4 linked regions of the Arabidopsis thaliana genome follow. The protein of the gene in region 3 interacts with the protein of the main gene of each other region in a pairwise test. Each region holds a gene or a part of one and is shown on either strand. Other genes may lie near its edges. The genes, in order: GAI, SEOa, MPK20 and RGL2.

The links.
Region 1: the proteins of MPK20 (region 3) and GAI interact in binary tests that used the Arabidopsis thaliana proteins (3 or more experiments, as listed by UniProt).
Region 2: the proteins of MPK20 (region 3) and SEOa interact in binary tests that used the Arabidopsis thaliana proteins (3 or more experiments, as listed by UniProt).
Region 4: the proteins of MPK20 (region 3) and RGL2 interact in binary tests that used the Arabidopsis thaliana proteins (3 or more experiments, as listed by UniProt).

Annotation. Positions count from the first base shown.
Region 1 is NC_003070.9:5,147,296-5,154,110, reverse strand, and holds GAI (GRAS family transcription factor family protein), read right to left. Parts: upstream 5,130-6,815; 5' UTR 4,698-5,129; coding exon 3,096-4,697; 3' UTR 2,696-3,095; downstream 1-2,695. Other genes in the region: AT1G14930 (Polyketide cyclase/dehydrase and lipid transport superfamily protein), read left to right, coding at 1,076-1,262, 1,366-1,646. UniProt on the Arabidopsis thaliana protein: Transcriptional regulator that acts as a repressor of the gibberellin (GA) signaling pathway. Transcription coactivator of the zinc finger transcription factors GAF1/IDD2 and ENY/IDD1 in regulation of gibberellin homeostasis and signaling.
Region 2 is NC_003074.8:244,794-252,435, reverse strand, and holds SEOa (sieve element occlusion protein), read right to left. Parts: upstream 5,245-7,642; 5' UTR 5,221-5,244; coding exon 4,600-5,220; intron 4,519-4,599; coding exon 4,438-4,518; intron 4,368-4,437; coding exon 3,898-4,367; intron 3,820-3,897; coding exon 3,710-3,819; intron 3,610-3,709; coding exon 3,467-3,609; intron 3,393-3,466; coding exon 2,928-3,392; intron 2,826-2,927; coding exon 2,175-2,825; 3' UTR 1,964-2,174; downstream 1-1,963. Other genes in the region: SEOR1 (sieve element occlusion amino-terminus protein), read right to left, coding at 1-67, 152-403; AT3G01660 (S-adenosyl-L-methionine-dependent methyltransferases superfamily protein), read right to left, coding at 6,004-6,309, 6,389-6,904; RGLG1 (RING domain ligase1), read right to left, coding at 7,374-7,511, 7,615-7,642. UniProt on the Arabidopsis thaliana protein: Scaffold protein required to form the phloem filament matrix in sieve elements.
Region 3 is NC_003071.7:17,838,193-17,846,969, forward strand, and holds MPK20 (MAP kinase 20), read right to left. Parts: upstream 6,189-8,777; 5' UTR 5,756-6,188; coding exon 5,732-5,755; intron 5,344-5,731; coding exon 4,935-5,343; intron 4,609-4,934; coding exon 4,481-4,608; intron 4,357-4,480; coding exon 4,297-4,356; intron 4,218-4,296; coding exon 4,068-4,217; intron 3,971-4,067; coding exon 3,815-3,970; intron 3,668-3,814; coding exon 3,456-3,667; intron 3,376-3,455; coding exon 3,274-3,375; intron 3,044-3,273; coding exon 2,901-3,043; coding exon of another isoform or gene 2,878-2,900; exon of another isoform or gene 2,817-2,877; coding exon 2,380-2,816; 3' UTR 1,976-2,379; downstream 1-1,975. Other genes in the region: AT2G42885 (Defensin-like (DEFL) family protein), read right to left, coding at 7,923-8,074, 8,314-8,401.
Region 4 is NC_003074.8:817,137-824,079, forward strand, and holds RGL2 (RGA-like 2), read right to left. Parts: upstream 4,517-6,943; 5' UTR 4,144-4,516; coding exon 2,500-4,143; 3' UTR 2,201-2,499; downstream 1-2,200. Other genes in the region: AT3G03440 (ARM repeat superfamily protein), read left to right, coding at 619-1,432; AT3G03460 (mediator of RNA polymerase II transcription subunit-like protein), read right to left, coding at 5,933-6,545, 6,898-6,943.

The sequences.
Region 1 (6,815 bases), on a different chromosome or scaffold from region 3:
ATCGTAAAAAAATTATTCTCGTTTACCGTAAAGTCTTTTAACTAAAAAAGGGGAATATTGAAATATTCATGCATGTGGGTGTGATAATTAAGAAGTACGAACGATATGACCAAAAAAAGATAACCAAGTAAAGACTGAAATTTAGAAATCTATAACAATCTGCAGCTTTTACAAAGAAAGAATAAACTAAACATAGATACCCTAAATAGATTATTCTAATACGTACTAAAAAACTTATAAAACCTGAACACTCTACATATATTCTTAATTATATTATATACAAAATACTAATATATATTGGATAATCATTAATCCCACATTTTATCATAAACTCGGATCAATCCAATTCCAACATTGATTCATATGTGGGAATATCAATATATGCATAACTAATTTTGATGGACACGTTTCGTATCTAATTGAAGGACAGTTTTCAGTTGTTATATATTCATATTTTATGTAAATTAAAGATACTTCTTAAGTCGATGGTTATAACATAAAAGGGTGCTTGTGTCAAAACAAAACAAAAATAGGTTCAAAGAATCTATAAGTGTGAGGTAATTTGGACATGACGACACATGGGATACACATGTGGAGCATATCACTATGACATCTATGGTCATTAAATAACGCAAAACCCTCTTGCCCGTCTATTTCGCCCTACTTTTCTTGCTTCTTTTTATCCAGTTAATAATCTGTTATGTGTTATCTATTAATAATGACATATTCCAACCAATTCAAACCTTATATTCAAGCGCTTACAAACTATCCTTACGTATACATTTCTTTAACTTTCACTTAAAATAAAACAATTATTTGGTTAAAAGTCACTTAAAATGGTACGGATGGACTAAGCATTTCATATTCAGGATTTAGCAAATGTTAAACGAATGAAATCTTTATCTTATAGTTTAAAAGATATAAACCACCTATAATTAAATCTTTATCGCCATAATTTCGTTTCTTGTTAGTGTTGTGGTGAGTCTTAATTTGTATATAAAGGAAGCGCAACACTTGGGTTTTTCCATCGAATAAAACACTTGACACATTTCAAAAGAAAACAATCAATCAAGAAATGGCGATGTCAGGAAAATACGTGGCGGAAGTACCGCTGAAAGGGTCGGCGGAGAAACACTACAGGCGATGGAGGAGCCAAAACAATCTCTTCCCGGACGCCATCGGCCACCATGTCCAAGGCGTCACCGTCCACGATGGCGACTGGGACTCCCACGGCTCCATCAAATCCTGGAACTACACACTTGGTCCATACTTTACTCTATCTCTTTCTGTGTTTGGTAACACGCGAGGATTGGATGATATCTATATATTCTAATGTGGACTAAAAATGTGTGTGTGTGTATGAAGATGGGAAGCCGGAAGTCATCAAGGAGAAAAGAGAGATAGACGACGAGAAGATGGCGTTGACGTTCAGAGGACTAGAGGGTCATGTGATGGAGAAGTACAAGAAGTATGAGGTTATCTTACAGTTCATTCCCAAGTCGAACGAAGGCTGCGTCTGCAAAGTCACTCTGATATGGGAGAATCGCAACGAAGACTCCCCCGAACCCATCAACTACATGAAGTTTGTCAAGAGCTTAGTTGCTGATATGGATGACCACATCCTCAAGGGCCAGAACAAAGCTTAATAACCCTCCATGGTCATCGTCGTAAATCATCCTCATGCATGTGTCTTTTGTACTTGTCTCGTAAGTGCCTTTATCATCCGCCTTTACATGTTATGCTAATAATAATGGCGGTCTTGTTAAGCAATTGTATTGTATGCTTATGTATACCATCTCTGTCTGTGATGTTATTATGCGTGTTCGTAATAAAATAAGTGTGTTAGTTATACGATTTTGTGTAAGATATAAAGCGGATGTATGTTAGTCATTTAGTCTCATGACTCTCATTATCCATCTCCTAATAAAAATTTCATCAAAATAGATAAAGAAAGTTTTTCACGAGGGGAGAGAGATTGATTAACCAAAATCCAAAATATCCATAATTCTGAAACAAAATCAAACACATACAAAAGTAAATATGCAAATATATTTTTCCGCCTAAAGACTCTCACGTCTCCTCCTCTCCCTTCTATAGAACGTATAAACCCTAGATTTTAGAACCCTCTGTTTTGCCAATTGACCAATTCCCACCTCAAAGTTGCTATCTTTTTTTCTGAACCATTTCTACTTGTTTTGGGATTTTTACTAAGGCCCATTAGCACTTATTCGGCCCATATATGTGGGGTAGCAAAAGTTGACTATAATCAACCATCAAACCGCCCTCGTGCCCTTTTTATACATCACAAAGGATCAAATGTCACAGTCACTCAACTATATAATACCAAAGGGTCACGAGTGAAGTCTAGTCTACTACCACCACTGTCGAATGTTTTTTTATCTCTTAAACAAGTTCGTAAACCAACTTCAATTGCTGTCAAAAAAAAAAAAAAAAAACTTCAGTCTTTTATTTACGAAGAACATCAACATCTCCCATTTTTACATATGTGGAATTATTTATGTGCAGTTGATGTTGAACAATATAATCCGCCTACTCTTTTTTTTTTTTAGGTGACATATATAATCGCCTACTATATCTTTCAGATACATGTATTAAAGGTGGACATTTGTATCTTTTCGGTTTCTTTTGTTTACTTTTCTTCTTTCAAATTAACAAATAAGAAAACTGAAAACGACTTAGCATTGTTAAAATAATCTGGTCCACCTATAATACCATGCACATTAAAAGAGCATATTCATGAGAATCAGCACATTATCATAAGAGACAGTTTAATCAGGCTCATTAGTCATTACAATGAATTTTATAGATGGTGACACTCAAGATGATTTTATTTCAACCAATTGCACATACTTGGTAACACATACTTCTATTTCTGCCTATCCAATTTACCCTCCAATGTCACATGCAAAAAAAAAAAACTCTCCAAAGCGAGATTAAAATTTTTCAATTACCTAATATAATGAAAGATAAGATCTTAACAAGTGACAAAGGGAAAAACAGTAGGATTTAGTTTGGCTTCGGTCGGAAATCTATCATCATAACCGGTTCAACAGATCAATTCATTGAGCCACCATCTAATTGGTGGAGAGTTTCCAAGCCGAGGTGGCTATGAGCGGTCGTGTGTGCCAACCCAACATGAGACAGCCGTCACTCTCCTCCACCCGATAACCCTCACCGCCGTTGAACAGAGCCAAAAGCATACTCGCTTGCTTAAACGCATTCGAACCAATATGTGCAGCCGCAAACCCAGCAGACCCGAACCGGTTCCTCCACTGACTCAACGTTTCATGACGCTCAACTCGGTCAGGTCCATCACAAGCCACAACGTTGCAGATCTGTTTACCCAAGTAAACCTCCGACATGACCTTGTCTTGACCACTCGGTACACCTTCCAACGAGTCAAACAACGTCGAGTAATAATGCAACGACTCAGTAAACCGATCTAAGAAAATCGGACTATTATGGTTCGATTCCTGCTCAACCACAGTGAAAATCTCCGGTTTAATCTGATTCACCACACCAAGAACCTTATCGATCGCACCAGGTCGTCCCAAGAGCTTGTGAAGCTCGAAAACAGAGTTAACCGCAACAGATTCAATCTCACTTGGTCTAAGCTCAAGCATCGAAGCATCAAGATCAGCTAAAGTGTTAGCCACAAATCCTCTGTACTCAAACTCAACGTGAATCGCCTCAGCTAAATGAGCCAGCTTACACCCAACTTCATGAAGATAATCGAAATTATCCGGTGCCGGTGGACCAATTCCGGTTAACCGGAAAACAGGAGGACCACCAGGTCGAAGCGCAAGAGCCTGCATAAGCGCCGGCCATTGAAGACCTTGACTCATAGAGAAATCAATGACATGAACTCTTTTCTTCCCTTGAAAAGCTTCGAGAATCGCTTGATTCGCCGTGAAGTGAGCGAACTTGAGATAAGGACAAGTCTCGTAGAAGTGCATCTGAAGAGTATCGGAGAGAGAGTGGTCGATTGGACTCTGCGACGGAGAGAGACGGTAAATCCGCCGCGCGAGAGCTTCGGCGAAGTAAGTAGCGACTTTTCTCATCGCTCCGATTTGAGAAACGGCTAAGAATCCGATTTGCTTCACCAGAGCTTCCGCTACAGTCAGATTCTCTTTCTGAACAGCTTCAGCGCAAGCCAAAAGCGCGTGAACGAGACGCACACCGTTCTCCTGCGAGTCAACCAGGACAACATGCCGAGTTGACTCAGCCGTCGCTGTAGTGGTTTCCACGACGCCGTTTGAGCATTTCAACCGCTTGTTTGTAGTATACGTATCTCCTCCGCCGCCTTGGTTAGACGAAGAAGCCGAATCGATAGCGAACTGATTGAGAATCGCGTCACCGGGAATAGCTTTAAGATCGTACTCGGCGTTAGACGACGGAGGATTAAGGTCGGTGAGCATAGAATCAAGCCACGTGTAAAGCTCCGCCGGATTATAGTGAACAGTCTCAGTAGCGAGTTGAGAAAGATCGTCTTCTTGAACATTAGACATCATAACTTCAAGCTGCTCGAGTTTCTGAGCAACATCAGCCATTTCGGATGACCTAACCTTGTAACCAAGAACAGCTAGAAGCTCATCCATGCCGTTACCGTCGTCTTCTTCATTCATCATCATAGTCTTCTTATCTTGATGATGATGATGATGATGATCTCTCTTCATGGTTGGTTTTTTTTCAGAGATGGATCTAAAAGGTTTTTCCTTCAATGTCGGATCTAGGTTTTGCTTTATTTGGGAAGGTGAAGAATCTTTAGCTTCGGGGATCGGTTAGGACTGCTTAGGATTTGTTTTTTCACTCCACTACCACTTCTAATAACAAAATAAATTGTAAAAATAGAGAGGAAGGTTATAAGAAAAAAAATGATTATTATTGTTGAGAATAAAAAGGCTCGTGATGGGGCTCGATGTCCGATGAATCATGGATCAGAGGGCTAACAGCAACATCTACAGCTCAAAGAGATAAGGCTGAAAATCACACACACACCAAAATTTGTAATTAGGGAATATATTGAAATTAATAAACTAATATATTAGGGAATATATAGCTTTTTACAGATTAATATTTTCTAAAGTTAGTATTACTTTAGAGTTTAGATGGTCATACAATTTTGAACAACTAAAAAGATTGTCATGCAACTAGTGGTACAATTTACTTTTTGTCGCTTTTTTAAGGAGTTTGTTGTGTTGGTTTTGTGTGATTGTAACTTTTGATCTAAAATACAGATATTTTTTATTAAAAAGTTTAAGTATTTAGTATAGTCTTATTAAATAAAATGGAACTTTTGTATTGGGAAAAGTAAACCATCATTAAACCCATTATGGAAATTAATATTCCATTTTATTAAAAAGAGATTGAGGGACTATGACGTTTTCCCGTTTTAGTTTTAAATTGTTAAAAAATTTAAATTGAATATAAGAAAAAGCTCCTTTTCTAACATTTTTTATAAGATCTTTAAAAAAAAAATTAAACCTTATTAGTATTTATCTGTAAGAGTGGATAAGAACTAGTAACATTTTCATTAATTACAAAAGACTTTTATATTTGTTCTTTGGATGGGGAACTAAAAGCTTTCATCATACTGTTTGAGTGCCCTAGCCTTCCCCTTTGTAATAATGTAGGCATGTTTCGAGCAAGGGGGTAGAAAAGTAAACTGCAGTATATATAAACCCATTTCAAAATAACAGTAATTATCAAATAGTAGCATTCAGTCTTTACACTTAAATAGCATTCACTATTTTGTCAATTACATGTTACGATAGAGTTAAGTTGTAATCGTTTCTTTTTAAAGTATAGTCTCGATTTTTTTTGCTATTTGTAGATAAAATTGGTTAATACAATTGTAGTATGTACTTAACGCCGTCGCTTACGGCAACTATTCTTAAATCATAATAAGATTACACAGATCAGAAAATAACAATTAGTCCCACTAATTAATGTCTTACAAAAATATTCGAAATTATTTTCGTGAAAATCAGAACTGACAACATGTGATTGGGTCCACGTGTAAAACGGGTCCCTTGAACTTACCGTACGCCATTTAGACTGTGGTCCCAAAGATCCCATGTGATTATTACACGTCTCTAAAGTATTTTTATACGCTAGGCCCTGATGAGAATTGAGATGACCATTCCCACCGTTGACGGCTCTTCGTATGGACCATCTCAATTAACGCTGTGCTACATGGTTGGTTACATGTTCTTGTGTTCCACGAATAATTATGCTCCGTTACATCATTTTCTCACAAAAAAAAAAAAACTGTTTATATTTTTAGCCACTTCACAAAAATTTATCAGATGGTATAATGGATCATTTCAATGTATATATACTATTACTTACGGAGTATAGAGTGACGTCGATAGTATTGGATTAAACATGCACCATGTCAATGTGTAATGTGTTACAAATTCGGTAGGTATAATTATTAATTTACTAGCAAAGAGAAAAAGACATCCAAAGTTTTTTACTTTGATTGGTTATCGTCATACTTGATATCAAGTGCTCTCGTTGATTAACCAAAAAAATTAAAGGTGCACTCATTGATTCCTTTATTTATTTTTTATAGTAGTAGAAGCTAACAAATGAAAATGGTGTCACATCATTCGTAATGAATATTTAGTCTGCTTTTTAGTCCAAACATTATTTTTTCTAAAGAAGTAATACAAGTCGTGATATATGTTAATTACATAAACAAGCCAATTTTAAACAAGTAAAATTGGATTACTGAATTCTTGAAATACTAGGCATTTTTGGAACAAAAAAAAAAAGGAAGAATAACTTGG
Region 2 (7,642 bases), on a different chromosome or scaffold from region 3:
AGACACTATCAAGAACGCTCATCATGCTTGACTGCATCAGTTTATCCTCAGTGGGCAACGGAAGCATCTGAAAAATCAAAGCAAGTACGTAAAGGAACATGATCATACGTACGTACTAAGAACGAAATTGATTGTGTGTAGGAATACTAACGGAGGCGTTGGTGTCTTCAGAGTCAAGAGTGGCACGATCGAGAATATCTTCAACGAGAGAGAGAAGGCCACGCACTTGGACTTCGCGAGCATCTGGGGAGTGAGTTTGTTGAATCAGCTTCAGCATCATGCTTTCGTCCGATGACATCGCAAGTCCCGTCGCCGGTATCATCTCCATGGACGGAGTTTTACCGGTCGTATTCTTGTGACCCGCCAGTTGCTGAGCGTGCTGGGACTTGATCAGCGACTCCATTCTTGGTTCAGTTTGCTTTTGTTAGAAGAAGAGGCTGTCTTTATTGGTTTGTAGTTTTGCTATGTGAGGTTAGCCTTAAATACTCGTTTCTCCCCCTTAGTTACGGTTGGAAATTGAGAATCGACTTCTTTGCTTCTGCAACAATTAAATTAAACATACAAAGAATATCAATTATATAATCTTGTTTCTTTTTTGCTTTTCTTTTTTTGGTGGCTTATTATAGAAGTTTTAATGAGATATATAGTTCCCGTCCACGTGAATATCGTTAGCACAATAAAGTATAGGCCTACTTTACACGAATATATATAGTAAATAAGAACTAAATCATAATGGGAAGAAAATGGTTCACTGAAATGTTGCGAGTTTTACTCGTAAATCTTTAGAGCTAGTACTCTTTCTTTATGTGTGTATTACTGAATTCAAATTCATATAAGACTAAAAGTGGATCAAAAACTACACTATTTTAATATTGCTACTAATGATATTAACTTCATTGCCAACTAGAAATTTAGATCCTAAAATATACAGATTTTTGTCATTTTCTTGGGAGGTTTGGAGACGAATTCCTCACTTTTCTCCATCATAATGATGATCACTGGACTACTAATTAATTCTCGCATTTTTATGTTACTAAAGGACATTAAAAGATAAGACACATTTTGTTTGCTACTTTGCTTATATTCTTATGTTACTTCACCTCATGCCATAGAATATTATAATTTATGGCTTCTGTCATTTACTTTAAGTTACTTTACATTGATTTTATCTCATGCATGCCTCAGAAAATAGCATCAAGAGTGAAGTGAACAAAAGGGTGTGAAGTTAAGATTCTTTGCTCTCTTTTGGGTAAAACTAAAGAATTTCTTAAGCTCAATGATATATCTTGGATAAGGCTAAAAAAAGCAATAAAAGAGTAACCAAGGATATATTTATCTAAAGACAATCACTTTTCTAAAAATAAGATTGTTATGCTTTGGGTTTATTCTATGCATGTTTTTTTTTTTTTCTATTAACTTTAGCATAACGTTTATAGGTAGGATTAAATTTGTTGTTTCTATACGCAACAAATTTTAATATCTCATCATTAGAAATACGTATAAGAGCTTCTTCGAAATCGAATCCGATATATGCAATATTTAAAAAGTATTTGATGGTTTGGAAGATTTAACTTTTACATTAACTACAGGCTAGGAACCGCTGATTTGTCGTTTAAAGTTGTATTCCCCCTTTGTAATACAGCAATCAGTCTCATGGTTTATTTTTTCAATAATGTAGACTAACACTTTTAACTTTCTATTAGATATATTACGATATGTGATTTGGACTCAAAAGACTGTTCATCTTTTGATTGATTGATCCATCCTTTTACTTTGCCTATATTTTACTAGCATTAAGTAATTTCATTTCAAAAGGCTAAATGTCAAAAGATATTACTGTCACATTAAAAAAATGTCACGGTCACTTGTGTTACTTGTGTATTAGTTCACTAGTGTTCTAGGAGCTTAAGGATCAAGAAATCAACAAAGAAGCAATGTTCAATCAGTTCATTGTTCTAGAAGCTTCCGATAAATAAACCTTTATTATTTCGAAATCTCAAACACACAAATTTTATTACAAAGACTCTCTGCTTTTAGTAGAGCAGAACAACAACAACAACATGAAGAGTAGAGAAACTCACAACAAGGAGGAAAAAAAAGACGCAAACTTATTTGGTTTTATAGGAACAAGTTGTTGGCTTCCAAATCAACTTGTTCCCCAGTATTATGGGATCTTACTCAAGGCAGCATTGGTACAAGTAATACTTTTCCATAGTCCTACGGCACTCGGTGCACTCAACCTCATTAGGTATAATTCCAGCAGTCTCAGGAAGCATGAACCTTGTGCAGTGATGTGGTGGGAGACGCATTAAGAGATGATCATTGAGCGCTGTAAGAAAACCCTTTGTGGGGATGTTGACTTCCCATTCGTTAAATTCAGCCAAACCCCTAGAAAACAAGTTCCCTTTGGCTCGAACCATCATGTCCGATGCTTTACTCACCAGTCCCCATCCATCTCCTTCTCCTCCATAACCTAACATAGCAACCACTTCTTGCAGAACAAGGTCCTTTTCCTCTTCTTTAAACCCTTCTCTCCCCTTGATTCCGTGGGCTTTCAGCATCCTCTGCTTCGATTCCCACATGCTCTCGACCCTGGTCCAGAAAAACCAGATCTGGAACAAGTCCGGCAAAGTATGGCTGAGATTTTCCTCCCGGATTGTGTTGATTATCGGCTGGATTCCATTCTTAGGGTTTCTTTTCCCGACATAAACCATCTCAAGTTGAATGTTTGCGGCCTTCGCTACATTACGCCAGAGACTCGTGAAGTTTTTGATCCATTGCATATCTTCTCCTCCGTAGAGACATATGTATTTTCCATCAACAAGCTGATAAAAAACATTTGAAACACACACAGATTTTCAGGTTACGTGTAACACAAGAGAAAGAAAAATTTATTAGTACTCTGTTTTTTTATTCAATCAAGAAACCTGGTTTAAGGAATGAGGATCAGTGCCATCAATCAAGAACTCAAGATTCCACTCCTGTTCGCTCCATAGATCACGTTCCCTTGCGGTGGTAAAAGGGTGAGCAAAGGGTTGCCAGATCCAGACCATAGGAAAGGCGTTGGTTGACATAACTTGACCTTTGGGATCAAGTGCAACGAGTATAGGCCTGTTCTTGAAACCCCACCATTCCCTCACAAACCTTATCGCGGCTCGTCTTAATTTCCGAGGCTCTCCAAGAACGTACCACCTCATGTTCATGTGAAGGGCCTCGAACTTGGCATCGTCAGCTTCTGTCCAGAAATCTTGAACTGGAACCCAAAGAATCTCGAATGACTGCTGCCATGCTTCTGTGTAGAGCGATTCCAGGATGTAGAGCTCTTTTTCGATGTTTTCTAGGTCTGATATCAGAAGCAGAACGTGCTTTTGGGTGAGCACGTTGATCCCGACCTGGTTAATGTTTGAAAACAGATCAGTCACTGACAAGAGACATATACAGATGCAGAGATATAAGGAGGTTTTACGCGTCTCTTTGAAACACCAGCTCCGTGGTAAAGAAAATCAATGGGTCTGAGAAGACGAAGTAGAGGAGGAACAACGTCGACGTGAATGATAGTAGTGAACGTCTGGATGAGTTCTTGATACTCTTCTTCGATTATACCTTCCTCTGTAACAGAGTAAAAAAAACAGAGCTTGAGAACAGAGGAATAAAAATACTCTTAAATATATAGAAACAGAGAGAGAGCTTAAAACGACGTCGTAGTTACCGATGGTCATTTTACTCTTCTTGAATTGTTCTAACAAGTAAGCATTGATCTTCCTAAGCCTTTCGCTATTCTCATGTATCTCCGAAACTTCCATAAACGACATGATTTGACTGAAAACATAGATGAGAAGCACATACTCAACTTACTCCTACTTGAAACCCTAGAAATCAGAAAGAAAAACAACTTACTCCTGCTTGAAACCACTGGCGCCACTGATGTGAGAAACACATATCAAAACACAGCGAACAATCCAGTAAACCGCAGTGGGGATATGGTCGGTAAACGCGGCTGTGATGTGGTTTGGCGGGAGTTGATAGATATCGATGATGGTAGTGGTGAGATCAACCATGTCTTGCATCAGAATTCGGGTCTTGTCGAGACGCTGGTGTAGAGCGTTCTGCCGGGAGAAGATGCTAGGGAGCTGTTTGATGAGAGCCAGAGATTTTGTGAGCTGATTTGTTGCGTGTGTCTCCGCGAGGAGGAGAAAAACGCCGTATTTCACGGCCAAAGCAGATAGGACAAGGACTAGCTTAGCATCCCAACGGTATTTGGAGACCAAAGACAGAACAGAGAACGTCGTCGTGTTGCGACTATCCAAATGAAGCCCTGATGTCATCATACCGTGAGACTCACCGCCATGGAGACACTTGCAGTCGATCTGTGTCAGAGACATTGATACTTAGATACTGACTCAAACGTTACTTAAAACAAGAAAGCTTCATATATACCTCGCAAGAGATTTGATCAATGAGATCCGCAAAAGTTTCAAAGGAGGTATGATCAGCGTAGTCCTTGAAGACGAGTGATGGCTGCAAAAAGTTTTAAATTTAATACGCTTGTAAAAATCAGTATTTGAAATGGGGATTAATTGTTGCACAAGTAAACTAAACCTTAGGAGCAGAGGAGTCAATGGATGGGACATGAGACTTGAAGATGTCATTAACAACGGAGAGAAGTGATGTGACATCAAAGAAGATCATGTCTGGACTGTGAGTCTTCAAGACTCTATCAGCCATGACTCGGTCATCAGAAAGTGAAAACATGGGTCTGCCATTTCTATGGAAAGCTTGTTTCTTTCCCGGACCAAATCTTCCACCGAGCGAATTGGGACCCAATGATTTCGGAACCATCGAATGTCGGATATTAGCATCAAGGATTTCCTCAGATGGATGAGGGTAATGTGCAGTCTTAGGGACAATGGAACCGAGATTCTCGCTATTATGATCCATCACCTTATTATGGTCCGCAGGAGCAGCAACATGGTGATCATCAGTATGACCCCCAAAGGGGTTGTCTTCGTGAGATCTCGGTGCTAAAGGACGCCTCTCGCCTGCGTTATCAGCCAGCCTCTGCTCGGCGGATCTTGGAATAAGGGAGACCCTTTTGAGAGGGTCGGCCGTTGGGAGGGTTTGTGAGTTCAATTGAAAGCGTTGGGCCATATTGGCGAGGTTGAGAGAAATATATGGTGAAGGATCTGATGTGTTGTGATGAATGATTGGGTTAGTATCCATGTGTGTGTATATATACTGGTGCAAAAGGTTAAATAAAGTGGCAACTTTGAATCAACTTCTTTGCTTCACCTTTGGTTCAATATCTGTTTTGGTGTCTTTTACACTTCCATACAGTTTTTCCCTTATCGATATTTCATAATTTTCATAATAATAAGAATTTCAGGTCTTGGATAATATTATTTCTAAATATGAAACGTCTCTAACGCAACTGCAACAGTCTAATACTAGTAGTGAGAAACATTTAATATTTCAAAGTTTATATACTGATGGTACAACGAGTTATCCTGATAAACATAACTAAATTTAGTATGTACATAGTAAAATAAGGGACTTCATAGCTATTTAAGAAGACACATGCATGGAACATAGATAGTGTACATATACAATGGATTTTTGTTTTAATATAAAAGACTTCCTTCTAATATATATACTGTTATTATAGAATCTAAACCATAAAGTAAGCAACTCGTGATACTCGTTTGAAGAGGGACAAGGCTACCTTGCTTGGATATTGTCCATGAATCTTCGAACAAAACGAATCACATACAATGCATGCTAATTGAAAACTATATATTAATTATATTTTCCAAAGTGTGTAATCTTTCTGTCAATTATTTCTTGTGTAATACAGGTTCTTCCAATTTGATTGAAATCTGTAATTTCATTCTCCACTTTTTAAAAATTTGTATTGTAAGTTTCTCCAGCTGGACTTGGTTGAGAGGTTTTTTCCTTTTCTTCAAAAACTTCCCATCCAATTCTTATACACTTTTTTTTATGTGCGTGTTACTCATAAATAGGTTTGAAATTTTTATAAGCAATGACAGCATTAAAAGGATCGGGCGTAGAAGCTAAACCGATAAAACCCATAAGCCGAGTCAAAACCGATATCTGAGCTCCAGGCTGTTGCCGGATGATCTCCGGCTGAGTAAACCCTTCAATAGACTGAAAGTACTGAACCACCAATTGGATCCGACTGTATTCGGTTCCATCACGCCAAACCCTAATTGCTTTCTCATAAAACATCCGGTTGCTAAAACTCACTATCAACACTCCTCCCGGTTTCAACACTCTATACACTTCTGCAAACACCTGCGGTTTATATAATAAAGACCCGGTTTAGGAATCTTCTTGACATAACCGAAATCGGTTTTGGTTTACGGTAACGTACCTTTTCGGGTTGTTGTAGATACTGTACACCAACAGAACACAAAACAGCGTCGAAATACTTGTCTTCGAACTCGAACTTCTGATCTTCATTAAGATCCTTGACGAAGAAGTAATCGAGTCTAGGGTTACGAGCAAGCTCCTGTGCGTTAAGACCATGCCCTACTACTTTCTCGTACTTCACTTCTTCTGGAAGATGGCTGACCCATGAGCTCATCAAGTCAAGTACAGTCGAACCGGGTCTCAACCGGTTTCTGTATAGTTCGGTTAAGGAGGATATGAAACTATCATCTACGTGGTTCACGAACCGTGGATATGAATAGAATTCACGGTCAGGATCGGCGTTTAGTTTGGTCCGACCTTCGTTGTTAAGTACTAACCTTTGGATCCTACCGGCCGAGGATGATGGTCGAGGATCGGTTTCATCGATTCGGTTTGATATGTTGGTGATTCTTGGTCGGAGAATTCTAGGTTTCAATTGAAATGGAGATTGTTGGAGGTTGAATCGAAGAGAATCCATAAGAAAAAAACTTTCGCTTTATCAAATTTCACAGAAGCGAAGAATCGTTTGTAGAAAAAGTGACAAAATTTATGTAAAAAGAAAGGAATGGATAACTGATGAGTGGTGTGATTATTTCTGCTCTTCCCTACTATTTATTTGGTATGTTTGCTTGTAGCCCAATTTCAGGCTAATGGGCTTCTATTGGGCTATTCATCCATTTATTTCTCATTGCTTATGTCGACAAAACAAATCAAAATTAAAGTGTTTAAGCAATCAACTTTGGTTTAATCGAATCTTGAAAAATCAAAGAAAGCCAACAGACAAATACATAATTCTTACAATCCAATCAAAGAAATTTTATGAACAAGATAAAGTTTAGGAATTCAATCAAAGAACAAAAGAACACTTTAATTTTCTACAGAAAGATCTGAAAATCTCTGGAAGAAATGGGATTTGGGCTGGTCAAAGCTGCATGTCAATGGTGTTGTTAGTAAAGCTTGATTCTGGTCTGGATCGGCGCACGACAAATAGGACACACTTTAAGATCTGGTCCGCATTCACAACAAGTCTGATGGCCACAACCAAACGCCATGTTTTTCGGGTTGCTCAGACATATCGGACATAGCTGTTCAAGGGGAAAATAACACAAACGAGTTTAACAACAAAAAGTTCCAAAGCTCTTATTTCACTTAACATTTCAAACAGATTCCTAAGTTTCTACTAATTACCTGAATATCGTCTGCACTACTCATTTGC
Region 3 (8,777 bases):
ACTAATGCCTGATGGTATAAGAGTAAGTTTTGTCGTAATTACGTAGTACGGACGAAATGAAAACGACCACGCGCGTGGAGATAAGGAAGGAAAAGAAGAAGGATACAGTGAGACACTACTTGCATGGGAACAAGGAAGAGAGAGGAGAGGACATGTGCGGGTCACATGAATATCTCCATCTTCAAAGCCCCATTCCCATGTGCTTCCTCCTCTCTATACATTATGTACAGACTGTAATATAGTATTATTATTAGATGGATGAGATCAAATAGATCCTCTAAGAGATAGTGAACTTGTTCGTACAATTGAGGACCTAATCCTACTAAGATCCACATGATATCTATCGGGCATGGTGGCCACGTGTCAACCCTTTTTTGGGTCCCCCCCACCTCAGTGACCTCCTAAATCTGTCCTTCATTTTTTTTTTGTCAACTCCTTTTTCTTATTAAAAGAAACTCCAATTAACATCCCATATTTCTTACCACGTAAAAACAACAATCTCAATATATCTATAATGTTAGAGAAATGGCCACTATATAACAAGAAGAAAGCCAAGGAAGTTTAGTGTTATTGGATTCGAATATAGTGTTACATGTTTCTAGCTAGAGATCTTTATAATATACATCTTTTATACATAAAACCGTTATAGTAAATCTTACTTAATGTTGGTTCCATAAATGAGCCCTCCGGTGCATTTCTTTTGTCAACTATATGATATAAAAACTAGATAAAGACTTAATAAAAAATAATTGCATTAAAAAAAAACAATTGCATTTTTGTAGGTCTTTAATCCAAGATTGCAAATTAACCTAAATCTACTCAAGAAAAAAAATTTAGTAAAGAATAATGATTGACATCTAATTAAAAGAAATAATGTATGGTCTTAATTAAGACAAAGATCAGGAACAGAATAACACATTTCTTTTACGTCTAGGGTTTTTAGTAATACTAAAAATTGTTAAGATGTTGTTTTAGAAGAAGAAGAAGATGGAAGAGAGAAATAAAGAAAGAGATGATGTTTCCAAAGAGGGGACGAAGGAGGGTTTGGTTTCTCGGGATTGAGATTTACAAAAATCGGGTGCCTTTCGCATTTCACCATCTACCAAACTGACACTCTCCCCAATTCTAGTATCTATTTATTTATGTATTTGCACTTACATTAAATATGTTACAAAAATAACACACTCGAAATTTAATTTTAGCTTTTAGCCAGCTTTCACATTCGTCGTCTTGGAATAATCAATTCTATGTCCTTTTGTATCTTGTTCGTTGTTTCTATTTTTTCCAAAATAACTTTTATTTAATGACGAAAACCTAAATATTTATATCTAGGAGGAGTTTGAGATGATTCCCTTTCACTATTTATTTTTGTTGCCACAAAAATAAAAGAGAAGAGTTTGGTTAAAGACAAGACAGTATATGTTTTTTTAAGAATTAAGAAAGGGGAAGATTAAGAAAGAAAATATGTAATGTTTAGCTAAAAAACTCCAAATCAAGGGAAGTTAATTAGTTATCTTCTCTTTTTTTCTATAAAGGCTGGAGATATGGGCCACACAGGTGGACCTACCATGATGGGTGATCTCTGGGACAATGCATACAGTGGTTTTTGGGTCCACCTCTAACCTTATTTGTCTCCTCTCTTGGCCTCATTTAGTTGCATTTTTTTCAATTGTACATGCATTTTCACTTGCTATATCTCTCTTTTGCTTTAAAACTTATTTTATTAAAAACTTTATAATCAGAAAGAAGAAGAAAGATCCCAAATTTTTTTATTTTTATTTTAATTAAAATAGAAGTGAATAAATAATCTTTAAATGATTTTTTCTAATTTTATTTTGATATTTCTATTTTGAGATACTATTTATTGAACAGCAATCTCTCATTGTGCTCATTTATTAATTTGTAGAAGAAATAACTTGTTTAGGAAGAAAGTAAGCGAACTCAACTGTTTACACAAAAATATATACACAAATTGGTTGGTTTAAAGATATGATCAAGTGACAATGCACCTTTCTGTTTCTACTGACATTTGGAAGAACAAAGTGGTGCCTGTGATATGGGTTCCCACCACCACATGCGTTTGGATGTGCCATGAAACCATCATCATCATCACCATGCGCATCCACACTGATCCATCTTCTGTAGCCAGCGGTTCTTTTAAACGTGAAAAACTCTCAACCTTTCTTGTTATATATACCAGAATCTAACATCCATTTATTTATTTGTCGGAATAGAAAAAACAAACAAATGATGGATCACAATTAATAAAAAAAATATTTTTTGCTCATATGGTTTTGTGTCATAGACAATTTTCTTTTATGACATGAAGATGGAAACATACAATGTTCTGTGTGATGAAAGCCCAGCTTAGGTGGAGAACTAGTACATCTTTGACATACCGTACCGAACAGCTCCAACTTTCCGGTGAGCAGAACCACCAGGAGCAGCTGCTGCAGCTGCCGCTGCGACTCCTATTCCGGCAGTTGCCTGTAACAGATTTGTGTCGATTATGATCCGGTCACTGATGTTTTCGGCTTTGTTCATTCCCGTTCTAGCCATGATAAACGGGTTGTTGTCTATGTTGATGGCTACATCTGGTGCATATCTATTATACTGAGATATTTGTCTTGCCTGCTTCTCAGGCTCCATAGTTGTTCTTCTCTCTTGCTGCTTTCCCATGGCGACTGTTGCAGCAGATTGTTGTGAAAAGGGGAGATTAGTGCTCCGGATGAATGATCTCGGGTCATATGCATCTCTGCTGATTCTGCCATTGTCGAAAGGTGCAACCGGGCCCATGAATGTGCTTGGTTTGGCTGCTGCGTGTAGATAGATGTTTTACAGTTTATAGAGGTCAGTTTGGACACATTGCTGTTGGATTCAGGATGAGTGATTAAAAGTACCTGAGAGGTTTCTTTGTTGTGCTTGTATTGTTGCATGATTAAAAGGAATGTTTTGAGTAGTTTCAGGGTTCAATGTGTTTGTGTTATTCATAAGTTTTGGTTGTCCTCCTCGTGCTACTGCGGTTGAGTGTATGACCGTTGATCTGAAAGCATGCAAACACAGAGTCAGAAGGACATATTTTTATAGAAATTAGTGTTCAACACAAGAAACAGATAGTCACGGTCTTATGATTCCATCTTTTTTATCCTTGCCATGTCAATGTATATTAATATACAACTAGTATAGCAGTTGCATAACGGGGGTCAAAAACAGAGGAGATCACCGAAACCAGATCAAGTGACAACAGACTTTACAGAAAAAATGAGGATATACCTGGGAAGAGAGGCATGTTTCCTTTCTAGAGGTGCCACAGGGCCGGTTTTACCACTGTTTTCTTCAAGATGCGCAAATTGTCTTCTAAATTGATCAACAGCACTGCACAGTATACATCAATGTCAGGGACTGGGTGTGATATGCAATGCTAGCTCAAGAATGTAATCAACAAAAATTACGACCTTGGGTAGAGAAAACTGGCTTTATCAGCCCCGTTCATATGATCTTTAAGCAGCTGAGGGTGGTACTCAAGTATCTCCCTAGAAATTAGCTCTCTTATATCCTCTTTAGTGACCTTTCTTCTCTCGAACTCAAATTCCATCTTCGTGATGGGTTGACATGAAGGCTCCCTTTCCACTTTTGCCAATCCCTTAAAATATGGATCAGCAAGTGCCTGATTCAAGTATACAAGAGTAGTTTAGTGATTCACTCCAATAGAAACCCCAAATGCATGATACTCTATTATTAGAGAGAGAAAACAATCAGGAAGCCGAGAATTCAAGATTTGAGATAGTTAGTCAATATGGAAGTTGAAAAGCACCTCTTCAGCAGTTGGCCGGTCTTTTGGATCAAAAGCAAGAAGCCTCTCCAACAACTTCAGAGACAAAGGATCTGCATTTGGGAATTTCTGTGCAAACGGAATGGGTGGCTTTTTCCTCATGCTTGTTAAGTACCTCCTTGCCTTCTCATTCCTCACCTGTATAACATCATAAAAGCAGGGTACTCATCACTACTGGTCCTTGCTTAAGATGTGTAGAAACTCAATGGACTTCGTTTAGCAAGAAGATCAATACCCGTGAGATGGTGTCCAGGGAAGGTGTCCCTAGCAGATCAGTCATAAGATCCAGCTGGTGAACCACATTCTTTCCAGGGAAAAGTGGTTTACCCATCAACACCTCCGCAAAAATGCAGCCTATACTCCAGATGTCAATTGCGGGTGTATACTACAAAGCCAAATCCATCAAAAGTTATATCGCGGCAACACACCAATTAAAAGATGTTATATAGAGAACAAATGAACACCTTAGAGTAAAAAGATCCACAAAGCTCTGGAGCTCTATACCATCTGGTAGCAACATAGTCCTGTAAATTCAGTAGAAAATAATGTAGAAGAGTATCAGGTCCTGCAACGTAGTGAATAATATTTAGACCAACTTCAGTTTAAGAGAAGGAAAAGACTCTTAGAGAGCCATCTTGTCAAACGTACAGTCCAGAAGATTGTTGTGGGGGTATCATTGAATGCAACCCTTGCCAATCCAAAATCACAAATCTTAAGTTTACAGTTTGCATTTGCCAATATGTTCTTTGGTTTCAGGTCTCGGTGGTAGACATTAGCTGCAACAACCAAGATTCATAAGATAATATAATACAACAAACCAAACTCGACAGCTGAGTTAAAGTTCAGATATATTGGGGCAAACTTCAAAAGGCAAACATTTAGCCAGACAATGGAAACCGCAAGAATCCAATTCAGTGCATCAATGTATGAGATAGTACTGTAGAATGTAAAGTCCTAAAAGACAAATCTGACATACACTACATTTTGCAAGTGTCCAAGATTTTCATCTACAGAGAGAGCGATATATACACACAGAGAGATTTGAAGATGAAAAGACTATTGCTAGATGCCGGATAAAGAGAGACCAAAAGAAAAAGACTACCTGTGTGAATGTACTTCAGTGCACGCAATAACTGATACAGGAAAAACTGGTAATGCTCTCTAGTCAAATCATCATTGGCTTTAATAACTTGATGAAGATCCGATTCCATGAGCTCAAAGACAACATAAATATCTTTGAATTCTCTTCGTGAAGGAGGAAGCATAATGTGCTTAATTTCAACTATATCTGGATGCCTTAGGAGTCTAAGAAGTTTAATCTCACGTAGAATCCTCGCAGCATCAGAAATATGCTCAAAAATATCATGAATTTTCTTTATCGCGACTTTCTCACCCGTAAGAGTGTCTATAGCTGAGCAAACAACTCCATAACTGCCTTTTCCAATAACTTCTTGAACTTTAAATCTATTGGCATCGCCATAGTCAGAAAAGAACTCCATCTCCAGATTATTCTGTTACAAATACCATTACTTCCAAGTCAGAAACATTACAATAGAGATAACACTATACAAGAATCAGATGCAGAAGGTTCTCTACTGATGCTACAAAGGACGCCTAATGAAGGATCAATGCAATTGAATGTCAATTTGCTGATGAAGAAATAAAAAAAATGTCTCAACAACACATCATCTTGTCTTGAATGATGACAATTATGCGTTGTTTGTTTGATGACACTTGTAACGTTCATTGATCATAAACAGAGTTGTCCAAAACGGCAAAAAGATTAAAGACAGTAACAGGAAACAAACAAGATTAACCGAAACACACACATAAATATCTCAGACAGAACAGATAGTATCGGATGGAATAATTGGAAAAAAGGAAGAGTTTTTGTTTCACCTTTTTGCGATTATCTTGCTGCATCGTGACTCAATTGAAACACAGACTAAAAACCCAGGAATTAGAAGAACCCTAGAATTCGATCTGAATTGGGGGGAGGGAAATAGAAATTCAGATCAGCCGCATTGGCCCCATCGACCACTACTCCAAATGGCGAAGCTAGAATCCGACCTGGTTCTGCTCCGGCAATCGATCACCGACAGAGACAGAATCGCAGGCGAATTTCTCATTCACCTCTCTAATTCACCCAATTACCCCCAACGAAATCGAAACAACAACAAACAATCGCAGTTCAAGATAAATCGAGGAATTGAAGATAGCAGAGTGCGAACAGCATTGCTTTAGACGCACGTTTTCGTCGGCACGAGATCTGATCACCGACACACAAGGGATACAGAGAGAGAGAGAGAGAGAGAGAGAGAGAGACGAAGAAGTAGTGAAAATGAAAGGAGAGAGAGAGATAAGGAAGGAATCTAGACGGAGATTTATATATAGAGGTTAAAGTGTCGCGTTTGGTAAGCTGCTTTGGTCACTGTGATCCAAAAAAACAACCCATTAGTAAAACGAAAAAATAAATTATTTGATCAAGTGTTAATAAATTAATTAGGACATTATTGATCTGGTCATTATTAGTGTATGATCTATTTTTGATCTTTATTGCCATTCATTCATGTCTTCTTTATCCAATTCTTTCGTTTTGTCACGTACTTATCTCATAGATATAATGTTAATAGAATGTTATCATCTTTATCCTTAAAAGCTTTTTTGCTAATTTTAGTTGCTAAAACTTTGTTTTATTCACTTTATCATTTGCTATATTGTATATACTGCTAAATTATATTTTCAATCTATATTTCATCATCTTCATTTTTGTAAGGAATTTTTAGCTTATTTTTTGTATTAAGTTTCTGGTAATATGATTCTCAATTATTTTGCTGTAAAAAAAAATATATATTATTTTGTTTTTTTCCATTAATATTGTATATCAAATAACCTTCAATTAAAAACAACAATATTAATTTAGCTTTTGGTTGTGGCATGAGTGTAATATAGTAATATTAGGGGTAGAAAAAAAAACAAACTCTCACTTAACTAGCCCAATGGGCCATGCCATTTTTTTAAAACACGCAGGGCTTTTCATATCCGAATAGTTAACGCCACGTCATCTCTGACGCGTGAGAGATTTGTTGTCAAATGTAATAAACCAGCTAATCATTAGTCTGTCTTACTGTCTCCTTCTTGTGGTTAAAATCAAAAGTCAAACCAGCTCACATTAGTGTAATTATTTAACTAAATTATAAAAAAGATAATCATATTTTGATTAGCTAATAACTAAACTACTTGACGATTGAGCGAATCTTATATTTAGTCTTACGGGATTAAACAAAAAATATCAATCAGACCTTGTTACGTAAGCACAAATCATAGTGTTTGGTTGAAAAACGAAGAATAATACATTTTTTTTTATAGTGTGTTAGTACTGTTTTACTTTATACTTCCATATTCTTTTTTCAATAGACATGTTTTTTCTAATCTTCTTTTTGGTGTTAATTTGATTTAAATTAAGTTAAATTTTTGTTGTTTTATGTATTTGGCCAAAATGATATTTGCATCATAAGGTTCATGTAGAAGAAAACATATCTTCATTTTTTTTTACTTTCTAGTCTTTTTCAATCTAGTGGACCTAATCCTTTTTCAAAATGATCTTCAAAGAATTTTTGTACCTAGTCTTGAATAAATGTGAGGAAATCTTTCTTTCTTTTTATGTGAAAAAATGTGAGGAAATCTAATTTACGTCTTTCATTTTTCTGCGAACATAAAATGGGTAAGGAGATATGGAAAATGTAAGATTCGGTTTGCAATTTTTCTGCAAACACAAGATCTCTGTTTTCTGCAAGAACAGAACCAATTTCCCACCAGGGTAACTCATTTTGACCACTTACAAGCGCCAGGCAATAATCCTTCTTCAAGGCCTTTCACCACTCCCCAAGTTCTCTGCTTTGGATCATATAAGCTCTCAAAAATCATAATCCAATACCAAAATTCATGATAAGTTATATGTTTTATTCATTATCAAGAAATTGAAAAACAACAATTCAAAAAGTTCATCTTTTAGAATCATATACTAGAAAACACATAAATCAAGCTCCATTCACCAATTATTGATGAAGTCATGAAGATAAATCGATTATTATCCTCTGATGCAACAACAGCGTGGAGGATTTCCAACACAATGTCCAGTCCGGTAAATAGCTACATTAGTACAGTCATAGAAGCATGCATGATCATCCCGTCTAGCATCACATAGAAAAAGGCAAGCACCATATTTTGCTGGCTCGATCACTGCACATATATACAACTCCACATTAAAACTATAAATCTGTAGATACATGTCCAAATAACAGTTTTAGTTTCTTCAAGGTTCTTAACAACATATACATATACACAGATACATGTAATATTGTATTACTAATTCTATATTTTTAAGAATTTTTTGTTTCCTGAATTATTGTTTTGGTAGTGATCAAAGATAGTTGAAAATAACAAAAAAAAATAAACATCTTCGCAAAGAAACAACATACCTGACTCGGCCTCAACATCGTAATAAGAAAACGAAATTGTCAATATAATTACAAGAAAAACAGTTGCAGAGGTTTTTTTGATACCCATAGGTTCTATTATCTTTTAGGTTTTCGTGAAAGTCTTATTTATAGGACTATTTTTCTTGGAAAGTTTCAAGTTTTTATCCTCTGTTTTTATTTTACAGTAAGTAGATCTTCCATAAATAAATTTGTTATTTTGGTAAAGAGAGATTTTCATTTCTTTTTATTATCTTCTTTAAGTAGAAAGAATCTTAAAACTACTATACTTGAATACTTATAAAAAAAATTACTATACTTGAATATATCAAATTTAATGCAAAGTTCATGTTGGAGAAATTAAATACTAATATCAAAATGTATTTGTATAAATCACATTACAATCACTTTGACTGGAAGACCATTATTCTGTGTGGTAAACTGGTAATTAATTACTAAATTACCAC
Region 4 (6,943 bases), on a different chromosome or scaffold from region 3:
ATAGATGGAAATCACCTGAAGTTAACTAACTCTTTGCTTTGGGGTAGGTATTAATAAGTTTGCCTAACTTAATTTATTAGCTCTTTCCGCATCTGTAGGGTCCCTGCTTTACCAGACTTGAGTATTTTTTGTGATATTTTTTCCTTACTACTGAATCTTTCTTAGTTTATACGCAAACGACTTTGTAGTCAATTTATTTTTTGGTCTAAACTCTGAGATCATCACTTTCTTTTATTAATGGGATCCATCTAGTGGAGAGAAGACATGGAGCTAGCACAGTAAAGATACTAGGACTCACGCCTTTCTTTTGCTTCACTTTTCCTCTCTTATACTATTGTTTTCATTAAATATCTTTTCCTACTTTAATTTTGGTGTCCCATAAACATTAATTAAATTACGTCTGCTTGGTTTTCCTAAGAGGTTAGGTTGGTGGCTTCAACTCTATTTTCCCTTGATTACAATTCATATGACTTTTAAATTGAATGCAGAGTAAAGTCTTAGAGAAAGAAAGATTGATTTTTGCCTATTTGATTAGAAACATATGTGTCATTGTCTTCGATGAATATTCTCCTCTGAGACTATTATTCTGAGTTTTGTTTCTAATTTTTCAAATTTTAGGAATAAAGTGAGTATAATTGAAGCCGGTGCTTTAGAGCCAATCATCAACTTCTTACAATCAAATAGCCCAACACTTCAAGAGTATGCTTCTGCATCTTTGCTCACTCTCTCCGCGTCAGCAAACAACAAACCCATCATTGGAGCTAATGGTGTGGTTCCTTTATTAGTCAAGGTCATTAAACATGGAAGCCCACAAGCTAAAGCTGATGCAGTAATGGCTCTTTCCAACCTCTCTACACTCCCCGATAACCTAAGCATGATCCTAGCAACTAAACCACTCTCACCAATACTGAATCTTCTCAAATCAAGTAAAAAGTCGTCGAAAACATCTGAGAAATGTTGTTCACTAATAGAGGCCTTGATGGTTTCTGGTGAGGAGGCGAGAACAGGGTTAGTTTCTGATGAAGGAGGAGTTTTAGCGGTCGTGGAAGTTCTTGAAAACGGGTCATTACAAGCTCGGGAACATGCCGTTGGCGTGCTTTTAACGCTCTGCCAAAGCGATAGGAGTAAATACAGAGAGCCAATTCTTAGAGAAGGTGTAATACCGGGACTGCTTGAGCTCACGGTTCAGGGGACATCGAAATCTCGGATTAAAGCTCAAAGACTTCTCTGTTTACTAAGGAACTCGGAAAGTCCGAGATCAGAGGTCCAACCCGATACAATAGAAAACATAGTGTCAAGCTTAATCTCTCATATAGACGGAGATGATCAATCCGGTAAGGCAAAGAAGATGCTAGCTGAAATGGTCCAAGTTAGCATGGAAAAAAGCTTGAGACATCTACAAGAACGTGCCTCGACTCTTGTTCGTCCATAACCTGTGATCGAAAACCGCAATCCCTAGGTTTCTTCCAAGTATAAAAACGGTGGTTTGACTCCGAATAAGGGTGATGAAGATTGAAGAATATATATATGCCAGTCCAGTTGCCGGCGCTTTGGTTCTTAGTGACTGGTTTTTTTTTTTTTTACTCAAAAGTGTTCATAATAAAATCATTTTGTAATTTAAAGTCTTTTTGTGTGTACATGCATTACTTATAGAATCGCTTTTACTTTAAAAAAAGGTTTCAATGATATTATTGTGCCATTGGAGTGTTCTATATATAATCCGAACCTATCCGACCAAAATCCCTACGTTAATGTCGTTTTATAATTTCCTTCTTGACTATACGTCTAGATTGAATTCCAGAAAGAATAACTTCATATATGTTTTCAAAACTGAAACCCCCCAAAATTTAGATCCACCAACTCTTAGGTAGAAGACCATTGAATTTGAGGCTTATGATCTCATAAAAGTAGAATAATTTCACCTCGCATATTTTTAAAAGTTGATAACGTACGTCAAAATCAATTTGACATCCATATTACCTCATCAAACCCATAATAAAGAGAGAGAAAAGAACAATCTGTTTCGAAAACAAAAATGTACCAAAATATATTTCGAAGAAAATCTTTTAACAAAGGCTGACATCAGTCCTCGAAACTGAAAGTACATTTTGGATCCGCCTTTTCAGAAACGCTCACGTTCACTTCCCATGTTATCAACGAAACTGTCCAAATTTGAAAAATATATGACACAAAATCATTTAAATAAATTCATATATATTGGATCAAGTAAAAAACATACAGAATCGTTATCCTTCCATTTATTGAAAACTACTTAGCTCGATCTACGATACAAGATTTTTTACTCGTTCTCTTAACTCTCAAAGATACGCACAAGGTCCAAAAAGATAAAGTTGTAAACATTTAGGCAAAAAGGTTAAACACACAAAAACTTCGGGTTAAAAAGTAAAAACATAACTAAAGTTACGGTCTCTTTTCCTAATTTTTTAAAACATTTATTGTTTTTCCCGGTTTCAGGCGAGTCATCTCTACCGCCGCGACTCAGGCGAGTTTCCACGCCGAGGTTGTGATGAGTGGTCGCGTCTGCCACCCTATCATTAAACATCCGTCATTTTCTTCAACTCTGTATCCATCTCCGGTAGCGTAAAGCGATAAAAGCATACTCGCTTGTTTAAACGCGCTAGATCCGAGATGAATCGGGTCAAACCCAGCGGATTTCATCCGAATCCTCCACTGTGCAGCCGTCTCGTGCCGCTCGACCCGATCGGACCCTTCCGCCGCAACAACGTTGAGTATCTGTCTCCCTAAGTACACTTCTGACATAACTCGGTCTTGACTCGGTAAACTATAACTGTCTTCGAGCGAGTCAAACAAGCTCGAGTAGTAATGAAGCGCTTCGTTGAACCTATCGAGGAAGACGATTCCGTTGTGGTTCGCTTCTTGCTCAACCACCGTTACGATACTCGGTTTAATAGCTTTAACCGTATTGAGAAGCTTTTCGATTGAACCGGATCGGGCTAATAACCGGTGGAGCTCAAATACCGAATTAACCACTAAGGTTTCAGATTCGGGTCGGGTTTCGAACATTTCGGGTTCAAGATCCGATAAACTCTCAGCGGCTAAGCCTTTGAATTCGAATTCAACGCCCATGTTCTGAGCGAATTGAGCTAATTTCCAACCTAACTGTTGAAGCGAATCTGAATTCTCCGTCTGCGGTGGTCCGATTCCGGTGAGACGAAACGACGGAGGTCCACCGGGTCGGAGAGCTAAAGCTTGCATTAAAGCAGGCCATTGCATCCCTTGATTAAGCCCTAAATCAATGACGTGAACTCTACGCGCCGTCGTAACAGCTTCTAGAATCGCTTGGTTCGCCGTGAAATGAGCGAACTTCAGGTAAGGGCAAGACTCGTAAAAGTGCATCTCCAAAACCTCTTCGAAAGATGGGTTCACCGCCGCGCAAACGTCCGTCTCCGCCGTGTAATCACGGTAAATACGACGAGCCAAGGCTTGAGCAAAATACGTAGCGACTTTTCCCATAGCTCCAGCTTGAGAACCCGCGAGTGTTCCCACGCGTTTCACCAGCGCGTCAGCTAAGTTGAGATTCTCCTGGTGAATCGCCTCAGCGCACGCCACTAGTGCGTGGACAAGTCTAACTCCGGTCTCCTGAGAGTCAACGAGCACCACGGACCGAGTTGACTCGTCCGACGATTCGCACCACGATCCGAGTCGGATCCTCTTGCTGCTAGCTTCCTCGTCAAAGACTTCCTCTTCCTTTGGAAACGCAGAAAGACCCGGAATTGCTCTGAGATCGTATTCGGATCTATCCACACAACTTCGGGTCGTGTCAAGATCCGAAGAAGCCGGGTTGTTCAGCTCAGAAAGCATGCTCTCGACCCAGTTAGAGAGATCAGATGGGTTATAATGAACAGAGTCGTTTAAGACAGTAGAACCAACATCATCATTAGACAAGACCATCTCAAGTTGTTCAAGCTTCTGTGCTACTTCAGCCATCTCAGAAGATCGAACCTTGTAGCCAAGAACAGCAAGAAGCTCATCATCCATGTTGCTGTTGTTGTTGTCATCATCAGCCTTCTTCTTATCCGCCATTGAAGGACCTTCTCCGGAACGAGAAGCTGGTAGTGGTTTTGGTGGCGGATCCCATGTTTCTCCGTATCCTCTCTTCATCTTTCTTGTTCTTGTGATGGTGAGTTAAGAGACTGATGAAGTTGAAAAAAAAAGAACAAAAGAGAGTTTATAAGAAAGGAGTTTACTTTACTTCATGGGTTGGTAAGGTTTTTATTAATGGGATTTGAAAAAGAAAAAAAAAAGAATTTTGTGGGTCTTTGTTGTGATTTGGTTACAGACAATTTTTGTGGAAAGAAAGGAGATTCTGAGAGGAGCAATATATAAAGCACGAGGGAGTGAGAGAGAGGTCCAATTAGAGAAGTGACTGTGAAGTGTGTTTAAGAGATAAGAATCAGAGCATGCCACTATTGTTTGGCATCTGTTTCTCTCTTTCATTTTTTCCTAACTCCAAGAAATTTACTCCTTTTTTTTTGTAGTAATGGATAATTTTCTTTATAACTGTTTAGTAGAGATTTCTAAATCTGTTTAGTAGTTTTGACCAATGGAACTTTATAACTTTTAGGTTGTAGTGTGCTTTCGTCATATTTGTTGGTAAGATGTTTTTAAGTTGTGAAGTGATTAAAGTGTCTTTTAATGATAGTGTCATAGTCTTATAGACGATCACGACTTAATTGTTCTTAAATGCCATTGAATATTGTCATATTCTCGCTTACGACTTCGTTGTTCTTAAACCCAAACGGCACCAAATGCGTGTTAAGATAATGGCACTTAAGTGTAGTTTTTTTCCTTATGTTGGATAATGTTTATTTTTTCACTAAATAATTGACATTTGATAATCAACTCTTTTCTAATGACAACTGAAAATATTGAATTATACAAATTTGATTTTCTCATATCTTGGTAGAAAGTATATAATCTTTTCCTCAGTCGAAAGTGTATAATCATGAAGCAAGAATCCTAAGTTGTTAGTGTTTGGATAAAAATACAAATTTTCAAAGCAAACAATTTTTTGTTACCAGCAGGTTTAATGTCATAGAGTAATCAGTTTTTAGAGATCATATTAAACTGAGACAACATTAGATAACTAATTATTTTATTGGTCCATAAGAAAAGTATAATCAGACACAAATATGATTCAACTATTACTCTCTTTTTTCTTGACCAAGTTCTAACATTCTGGTGATGTGAATTCTTTTTTACCATAATGATAAACAAATATGTTTTTAGCTATGTATTGTTTCACTGAGATAAAACTACAGTCTACAGCTCAAGTATTTGAGGGGGACACATGAGCAACTTCTCATGTGCCACGTAGAGGAAGACATAGCCTACGAGACGTCCACAACATAAGGTTACTTTCATTAATTTATTGCATATATCTTTCAGCAGTTTTACATACACACATCATCATCATGCATAATAATTAAGGTTTTTTCGAATAGTGGTATCGTTTGGAAACCGTAAAAGATCCTTTTGGAATATAAGAAAATAAATTATAGAAAAATGTTGTGGGGATTGTATATAGGTATGGTCCCAATCGCAGCTACAAGAAAATGATATTCGTTGTTGTGTTAGAAGTCACATGGTGCATGCTTTTCCATTTTTAGTCATTTGATGTAACTTGTGTCTAAATTGGCCTGTTTTGCTTTTGTGGTTTACATTATTTGTTACTTTTTATTTAGGATCCCTCTTTTAAAATTCATAAGATGAGAGAATCGAAACTGAAGCGCGTCATGCTCACTCGCCAAAACTAGTCCACCTCAAAGAACACTTCATCATCGTCAATTTATCTTTCACCTTATTCACTACCTTTCAAGATTTAACTACATCACCAAACTACGAGTATTTGGATAACCAAACCAAAAGAAAATCTGAGTCATGGTTTCATTTACCGAATATTCAAATCAAAATCCCCACTTCTTCGCCACTTCTCATGTTCACCATTTTCATTTTCTTCATCATTCAAGAAATCTTCTAATGGTTCCTTCTCTTCCTTCTGGCTATTATTGTTGTTGTTATTGTTCCCCCATCCATTCATCAGCAACATCATCTCATTAGGGTTCATGTTACGCCCCTGTTCTCCATGATTCCCAATCGCATTAGCTCTCAACGGGTTACGAGCCATCATCTCGGCATGAGACTGTTGAGACTCTTCTGCCCTTGCTTGTCCTGCTGCTTGAGCCAAAGCCGCCATTCTTAACCTCGCATCCTGAGCTTTCATCTCCCTATCCAGCTGGATACATGCGTTTCTCTCGTCATTGAGCAAAACTTGTTCCATCATCAGCCTTTCCTCAACTCTGTCTCCATCGCTTCTCTTTTGAATTATCCTGTCGAAAGCTTGGACTTGTCCCTCAAATGTCGCCGTGAATTCTGCAACTTTGGCTGCAATGTTGTTGTCCCATTGCTGACAGCGGGGTAGCGTCTGGCTTGTTGTGTTTGAATCAAAGATACTATCATCTTCTTCTGCTTCGTAATCTGCTACAACATGATAAGGTAACAATCTGCAAAAAAAAATAGTGAAATCACAGAGAAAATTGTAAATGTCACAAAGAAATAGTGAAATTCCACATTTTATAAACATTTCATATATGGATCAACAACATATACAATGTCACATGGAATTCAAAATAGAAAACTTTTTTCTGCAATCCCGAGAAAAAAGTTGAAGAACTCCAATAAAGCATTGGCCTTTACGATGAAAAGATGATACAATTAACTAATGACTACCAGAGAGATCAATTCAGTCAAAGAACTATTTCAAGTAATCACTATACCCAGAATTCTAAGAACAATCCATAAAATCAATTCAATTCTATGAGAAAACAATTGGGGGAAAAACAGAATTAGACGAACCTTTCACAAGCGTCTTCGAGAGAAGCGAAAGGTCGTTTGAAATCAG